2 linked regions of the Ovis aries genome follow. The protein of the gene in region 2 binds, or shares a complex with, the protein of the main gene of each other region. Links are inferred from orthologs where the notes say so. Each region holds a gene or a part of one and is shown on either strand. Other genes may lie near its edges.

The links.
Region 1: the proteins of PDPN (region 2) and CLEC1B are in contact, whole or in part, in a crystal structure (PDB 3WSR), measured with the Homo sapiens proteins. The link is inferred for Ovis aries from reciprocal best matches to the Homo sapiens genes PDPN and CLEC1B. Residues at the interface, in NP_006465.4 of Homo sapiens: Ala46, Glu47, Asp48, Asp49, Val50; in NP_001380271.1 of Homo sapiens: Arg107, Phe116, Arg118, Arg152, Thr153, His154, Leu155, Arg157.

The regions. Positions count from the first base shown.
Region 1 is NC_056056.1:205,424,195-205,428,008, forward strand, and holds part of CLEC1B (C-type lectin domain family 1 member B), read right to left. Parts: intron 2,314-3,814; coding exon 2,207-2,313; intron 1-2,206. UniProt on the Homo sapiens protein: C-type lectin-like receptor that functions as a platelet receptor for the lymphatic endothelial marker, PDPN.
Region 2 is NC_056065.1:53,312,685-53,317,011, forward strand, and holds the start of PDPN (podoplanin), read right to left. Parts: upstream 2,833-4,327; 5' UTR 2,625-2,832; coding exon 2,558-2,624; intron 1-2,557. UniProt on the Homo sapiens protein: Mediates effects on cell migration and adhesion through its different partners.

The sequences.
Region 1 (3,814 bases), on a different chromosome or scaffold from region 2:
GTAGAAGTGAACAGTAGGTACAATAAGAGTCCAGAGGAAAAGATGGATGGGGATCTGAAATGATGAGAAAAGGCTTTACTTTCTCGTCTTTTCATGGAAGATCATGCTTTAGTTCTGTTTTGAAAGAAGGGTAGAATTTAGATTGAGAGAAGCCCTATCGGACAAGTACCTACACAGGGTGGAAATGAGCTCAAGGAAAAGTAAGTCGATTAGTTATTTTTGAAATGAGGATTTATGTTACAGGGTAACAGATATAAGACTGCATTATAATTGCTTGTTCACTTGCCTATATTTCCTGCTACACTGCTATAACAAGAGGACAAAGAATGGATATTTATTAATTCATTTGCCAATATCTGTGGGATACCTAGGTGGCTCAGTGGTAAAGAATCCCCCCTGCCAATGCAGAAGACTCAGGAGACTCAGGTTCCATCCCTGGGTCAGGAAGATCCCAAGCAGGAAGAAATGGCAACCCAATCCAGTATTCTTGCCTGGGGAATCCCAAGGACAGAGGAGCCTGGTGGGCTACAGTCCATAAGGTCGCAAAGAGTCGGACACGACTGAGTTAGTACAAGCACAAGCACGAGCATGGGATACCTGCTACATGCCAAACTTGTTCATATGCTGCTAATAGAGGGATAAACAAAACATAAGGTCTTTTCTACTGGGAACTTACACTGTAGTGAGGGAATGTTGATAAGGAGTCAACAAATAAAAAGAAAATCTCAGAGACTGGTAAAAGTAATAATGGAACAGTGTGATGTGATAGACTTGAGTGGATGCGGTGGAGGGAGGCTAGTTTAGTTTGGTAATTAAAGATGGTCTCATTGAGAAAATGATGTTTAAACAGACTTGAGTGACAAGAGGGAGCCTGCCACGGAGGAGGGGATTCTAGAAGGAAACAGCAGGTACAAAACCCTAAGACCACAAAACATGTTTAATTTTTTTGAAAGAACAGAGGGGTCACCAGTGTGCCTGAACTATTGTGAAAAGTCAGCAAGCAATAAATGTAAAGTCCAGATCTATGAAGAAGCTTGCTTGTACTCCTAATACTCTTGAGTTCTGTCCATAATAAAAATTTAATAAGTATCTGTTGAATGAATTAATTAAAAATTAAGTAAGATCTAATTATGCAAGTTTGGGTCGTCAATTTACATTTTAAATGGAGAGACATTGCACAATGTGAACAAAGGTGACTGGAGATTAGAAAATTATTTTTTTCAGATATAAATTTATTTATTTTCATTGGAGGTTAATTACTTTACAATGTTGTAAAGTAATTGTATTGTAATTGATCCTTTTGCCTGGATTGTCTGTAGAAGGTTAGAGCCTTTTGACATAGACTTTAGAATCCTCTTGTAATTGATAATGTGCCTGATTCTTGGAGACCTCTGAGGTAGAAAGTAAAAGTCGTTCAGTCATGTCCGGCTCTTTGAGACCCCATGGACTGTATAGTCCATGGAATCTCTAGGGCCAGAATACTGGAGTGGGTAGCCTTTCCCTTCTTCAGAGGATCTTCCCAACCCAAGGACTGAACCCAGGTTTCCCTCACTGCAGGTGGATTCTTCACCAGCTGAGTCACAAGGGAAGCCCAAGAATACTGGAGCGGGTAGCCTATCCCTTCTCCAGAGGATCTTCCCAAGTCAGGAATCAAACCAGGGTCTCCTGCATTGCAGGTGGATTCACTACGAACTGAGCTATCAGGGAAACCCCCTAAGGTAGAAGACAAGGGAAAATGATACTGAAAAGTCAAAAAAAGACTCAAGACGTTCCAACTATAAACTATAAGGATGAAAATTTTGTTCTCAAAATATGTGAAGAGAATCAGATCACACTACAAAAACAAACAAACAAACAACAAACAAACAAACAAACAAAAAACCAAAACCAAACCAAACACACATGGAAAATGCTCAATGGTAAAGTTAAGGGTAGAAACAAGTGGGAAAAAAAGTATCAGGAATGGGGTGGATTACGACTTAGATGAAAAGCAGAGAATGGGAGAGTCGGAAAATAGAATCTAATTAATTGCAAGCACTCTCTTGTTAGGATTAGGGAGTAAGTAACTCAGTCATCACCTTTGTAACACCAAGTATAACACAGAGCCACTTCCCAGCTTTTAAGTAACTTGTACTCAAGAGCAGAGAGGATCTCAGAAATAAAAATTCCTAGTTGTGCCTTGTGTTCTGAGTGTCCAATGACTTACACAGTTTCGGAAGGAACTGAGCCATCTTCCCACCTCCAGACGTCACTGGATTTCTGGCGGGACAATCCAATCCAACGAATTAATCCAGTCCTGCTATTGAGATATTGCTATTGCAAACACAAATAATTATAACGGTCAGAGTGTTTCTACAGTTCGTGTAATGGTATAAAGGAAAAACTTCATGATAAGACTCTGGACAAAACAATGGATTATATGTCTATATTAATGCTAACTGATTATATCTGATATTTAGAATTATACCAAGTTTACTTGTTTTAGCATAAAAATACTTGTAGGATAGGGAAAAACTGTAAACAAGATAGATAATATTCTAATAATCCTATATGTTTATGTTCCATCAATTGAAGGTTAGAATCCCAAATAAAGTACCACATATGAGAAGGAAAATGAAAAATACATTGTTGATGAAATTTTATATTCCCTAGAATTAAGCTCTGCTTGCTTTGGTTTCATTGCTTAGCTTGTCTACAAAATCTTCATATAGAAATATCAATTTTTTTTAGTTGACTGGATAAAAGAGATGTCTTTCTCAAAAGGATTTACAAATAACATACATCTACAATTTTTCACTTTGAAATTATCTCTATTTACTGTACTATATGGGTTTCCCTGGTGGCACAGTGGTAAACAATCCACCAGCAATGCAGGAGACAGGGGTTTGATCCCTGGGTTGGGAAGATCCCCCGGAGAAGGAAACAGCAACCCATCTAGTATTCTTGCCTGGGAAATCCCATAGACAGGAGCCTGGCAGGCGACAGTCCATGGGGTCTCAAAGAGTCGGACATGACTTAGTGACTAAATGCAGTAATACTTATTTATTTTGTTCATTGCCTGTTGCTCCAACTGGAATAAAGTTCCATGAAGCTACGAATTTTTGTAGGTTTTATTAACACACAGGTTCAAGTCCTGGAACGTGTTGAATTAATGGATAGATCAATCAATCAATCAATCTATGGGTAGCAAAATTAGAAGAAAGTCAAATGTTCACGTGCTCGCATACCTCCCAGGAAAAAATAGATGAGAACATGCTCTTGGCAAATAAAAATGGCTTGAGCATCTTGGCAGGAACATGAAGCACAAGACGGCATTCCATGAGAGAGATTTCATGAGAGTCACTTATTTCTTAAATGTGAGATACTTGTCATGTGTCTATTAACTTTTTTTTCTTTAAAATACATCCGCAATATATACTTCACTATAGAACTGACAGATTCTACCTGAAGTTCTGCCCAAAATTCAACTATTTTTTATTCCTCCAAAATTACATTACTTCTTTTAATTGTACATCTTCAACATGATATTTGCCTATAGCAATAAGACTTGAGAAGACATGTTTAGTCTCTAATTAACCTTCTTGTAATAGAATTGAGATTTTAAGGCACTCTCTTATTTTGTCTGACTTGAAAGAAATTAATTTATCTGAGTATCTTCTCTATGAGGCTGAGCCCACAAGAAGAGCAAATATGTGGTACAGCAAGTTAGAATAACAGGACATACAAATGAACATGAATGTCACTGGGTTAATTTCCTCTTTCCTGGTCAGTTACTGGTTAAGCAAGGCTTCAGGACTCAATGGGCTCCCTAGGC
Region 2 (4,327 bases):
GGGTTCCTCCCTCTTGCCATGTCCCAGTGTAGCCTTCTCACACGAGGATACTTTTTAGAAATGTGCTTTTCTATATTAAATGCTATCTTGGATCTCACATGTCAGTGTCATCAGAGCCTCCCTCGAGAAGGCTCTAACAGACCTGAGATACCTTAAGTGCAACAAAACTCTTAGCAACTCCAAGCCTCCGAAACTGGCAAGAGTTTTGGGGAAAGCACAGGGAAATTTGTTCATAGCATGATTAATCCTGGGTGGACTGGTCCGGGAAAAAGCACATGCGGGTTTTCAGGAAGCAGCAGCCTGCAGAATTTCACGAAATAAACGATCTCATGGAGTGGCCTGTGTACGTGTCTTAGATGAAAGTTCAGAGTGAAGGTGGGGCCTGACAGTGGAGGAATATGCCAGATGTGTGGACCACTGAGCTCCTTTAAATCCACTAACATCTCAAGAGACCCAGAGGACATCTCAACCCAGAGGACGAGATTGTACAACTGAACCAGATTATAACTTTAGAAGAGGGAAGCCCAGTAGGGAGTAGACTCCTAAGAGAAGGATAATAAAATTCATCACCATAATTACCCCTAGTTTAGCTCCCCGACAAGAGCCCACAGTGGCTCAGCTCAAAGAAGTTATTCATCCATATTCAAGTTGCCTCGCTCATTATCCTCAGACAAAACCCCTCCTGGGCCTCAACTCTTCACCAGCAGCCTAGTAACTCTGCATTGACACACAGCCCCGGGGGACAGGGCCAGGGTGCTTCAGTCTTTCCCAAACGAGTTGCTATTACTAGAAGTGGCTGGTTTTTCAGCCACAACTATTATTTTTAATTATTATTACTTCTTTTTAGGAGTACCTTTGATATTCAGAATTGGCTTAAAGATAATTACAGCTAAACTCTCCCTGGGGCAAGAGGGTTGCAGGGGAGAGGGGGAGGCTGGGGGAGGGGAGAGGATGCCACCCAGTGGCCCTCTTTCCTGAGCAGAGCTGGGACAAGGCTCAGTTTGGGGGGCCTCCCACATCTTGCCCTGCTGAGCACAAAATGGTATCATTTGCACAGTCTGGCCAAAAAGGAAATGTAACTGAAATGCAGAGCCATGTATGTGGCTCTGGAGAGAAGTTCCAAAGATAGGACTGCCATGAATAGCTCACCTCCCAGCAAAAAGAGGGCTTCCCACCCAGATGGCACAGGGGTAAAGAACCCGCCTGCCAATGCAAGAGATACAGGAGACTTGGGTTCAATCCCTGAGTCCGGAAGATCCCCTGAGGAGGAAATGGCAACCTGCTCCAGTATTCTTGCCTAGGAAATCCCACGGACAGAGGAGCCTGCTGGCTTACAGTCCATGGGCTGACAAAACAGTTGGACACAACTGCACACACACGCACAGCACAGAGAGCACCTCAATCTCCACGAAGCAGACAGCGCCGCAAAGGGAAACACACCCTGAACCACTCACTGGCCTGGAGCTGGGTATTATTGTCTTTGTGCAGAGGCCTCCTTCAAGCCCCTCCCTTCAAGCAGGATTCCTCTGGCTCCAGGCCTACCTCCATCCTCAATTCGGAAAATGTAAAAGAGTTTCATTTCCTCAATCTTCAACTCCAAAGATCCCTAGTTAGCTTACAATGACTTCAACTAATATTCAGTGAGCAACTACTAAGGGCCGGGTATTGTTTGACCCTGGAGATCAAGGTGAAGACACAGCTGTGTCCACAGGAGCTTATATTCTACAGTGGAAACAGATCAAAATAAAGACCCAAGAAAAAGAAAACACTGACCAATGTGACTGGAGGTTACCAACACAGCAGCAAGGGGCAAGAGGAAGAGAGGTAATAAGAGGGAAGAAGGAGAAGATAATGAGAGTGATGGGCAAGCAGTGTTCTCATTCTCAGATCTAGAGAAGTGAAGGTCTAAGGAGTCACCAACACGCGGTCATTGACACAGTTGGCCAAGTTCCACACGTGGCCCCAAAGGAAATTAAACTGGTGCACTCAGGACCCTCCAGTTCAGTCCTTAGCCCCACACACTATCCTCTCCACAGAGGATAACGAATCCCCACTGATCCGGCCCTGAGTGTGTCCAACGTGCTGTCTTACAGACTGGCAGCCCCCAGAGGGAGGCCGTCGCTGCACAGGGATATCCCACTCTCATCCCCGACCCTCACAATTCTATGGAGCCAGTACTTCTGAGGCCATGAGCATGTCTCCAATACACAGCCCTGGAGAAAATCCCAGCGCCGCCGGTGGACGGCGCCTGGCTGCTAGCCTTCTATCTGTCTCTCGGAGCCAGCAAGGGTTGGCAGGAGGTGGGTCGCCCTCAAGGGACCCTCTGCTCCCCACCTGCTACCTGTGGATTCGGGGTCTTTTCCTGGCACCCCGCTCAGCTCTTTGCCTGGGACCTGTCCCGGGCTAAGCCGCCGTCTCTCCTCCCGGGGCCTCCAGACTCTGGCGCGCACACTGCTCCCCCGGGCAACCTCACATTCCAGGGCCCGGCAACCCGCAAGTCCCGGCTCGCTCGTCCCCACCAGCTAGCTGCTCGGGGAGCTCCGCCCGCTGGCCTTACCTCCTTCTGCCAGGACCCAGAACGATGCGCTTCCCAAAATGAAGAACAGAACTGGCACCTTCCACATTTTTCTTAGCTGACTTGTTCTTTGCGGTGGGGAGCCGAGCAGCTAGTTTCTGGGCTGGGGAAAGATGAAAAAGCTCCGTAGCCAGGGGCCTTCCCTTGATGAAGCGCGAGAGTGGGGCCTGGAAAGCGGGGAGCAAAAGTCCCAGGACGGGAGGGGTCCCCAAGTTCCTTCGCTCGCAACAGCCGCAGAAGAAGCAAACTTTGCAGTTGGTAACTTTCGGGTCGGAGTCAGCATTTATCTCTCCGGAGGAGGGCGGGGAGAGTCCGCGCGCTAAGGTGGTCCCAGTCTCGGGTTCGCTAGGACCGCCCCCTGCCTGTGTTTGGCCAGCGCGAAAACGATGACCTCAGGCCAGGTTTAAAGTTACAAGGCCACAGCTGCGGGGGCTGCTAGGACCCGCACATGGGTCCCGGCAAAGTTGGCTTGTATTTGTTCCCCGACAAGAGGGAAAGGGGGCGCATGCAGTAATTGATTTGGGGGGGTAATTTTAAAACTGTATTTGTTATTCTCTCTCTCTCTCTTTTTAAAAGTAAGGCACAAGCTTGGGTTTTTCTTTATATAAGAAGTAAACTCTTTCTTGGGTGGCCAGTCATTTTAGCACCAAGCATGGGATTGATCTTGTAAATATTGAATTTGATGGCATTAGAAAAAAAAAATGCTGCCATCCTCCTGCCGGTGGGCCAGAGGCGGTTCCCGCTGGTAAACTGCGCCCTTGTCTAGGGGCTGGGAGCGGGAGGGCTCTGGCTGGCGTAGGGGGTCGGGGGTGCATCCCTAGAGAGCTGGGAGCTTGGCAGGCTCCTGGGATTCGGCAGTTGGGAAAATGCTGAGCGCGCGATCCAACCTCTCCCTACTTTGGTTTCAACGCTGCGGGGCGCGGGCCCACCCGCGCAGTCAGTCGATGGGGTGCCACAGCCCAAGGGTGTCAAAGGGACCCCCCCAGGTCACCAACCTGTGGGCACTTCCCGCTGGGGCTCATCCCTTCTAATCCCGGACCTTGGCCCTCTAATCCCCATTTTACTGGTTCTGATCTCAGGTACTGGATGTTAGCAACAAGAAGAGAATTTGTTTTATTTCCTTTCCAACTCTTGGAATTAAATATTTTTCTCTTAAGGGGAGACGTTGGAAAGGTGGTCCACTCCCAAATGCCGTAAGTTCCATTCAACAAAAAGAGCCAGAAGATAAATGCCCCAAAGCTCCATCCTGGAGTGAAAATTGGTTTTTTTCCGATCCTTAGGAGAAGGCCAACCCCTAGATTCCAAATTTACTTTGTCATAAGAATTAGACAGGGAGATTGTAATCACATCCTTAGGGAATTCCTAAGGCAGAAACCCCAAGAAAGTTTAGTAAACGGAGCCCCAGGCAGCCCTTCTCAAACACCCGTGACCCAGTCAATCTCTGTTAGAATGCTGTAAAGCTTCCTGGGGAAATTCTGAATTTCTAACAATCTCCCAGGTGAAGTCTTGTCCTGGGGCTCTCAGGTAGGTGCTGACACCTGAAATAAGGAGAGGAAGAGACCTAGGAGAGTGCAGGGGTTGGAAACATAGAGAGAAAACTGTAGGTAGGGTAATCTGAACTAACTTCCCCATCACGTTCACTCATTTATTTGTGTCATTGCATTCAGTTCAGTTCAGTCACTCAGTCGTGTCCGACCCCGTGACCCCATAGACTGCAGCACTCCAGGTTTCCCTGTCCATCACTGCCTCTCG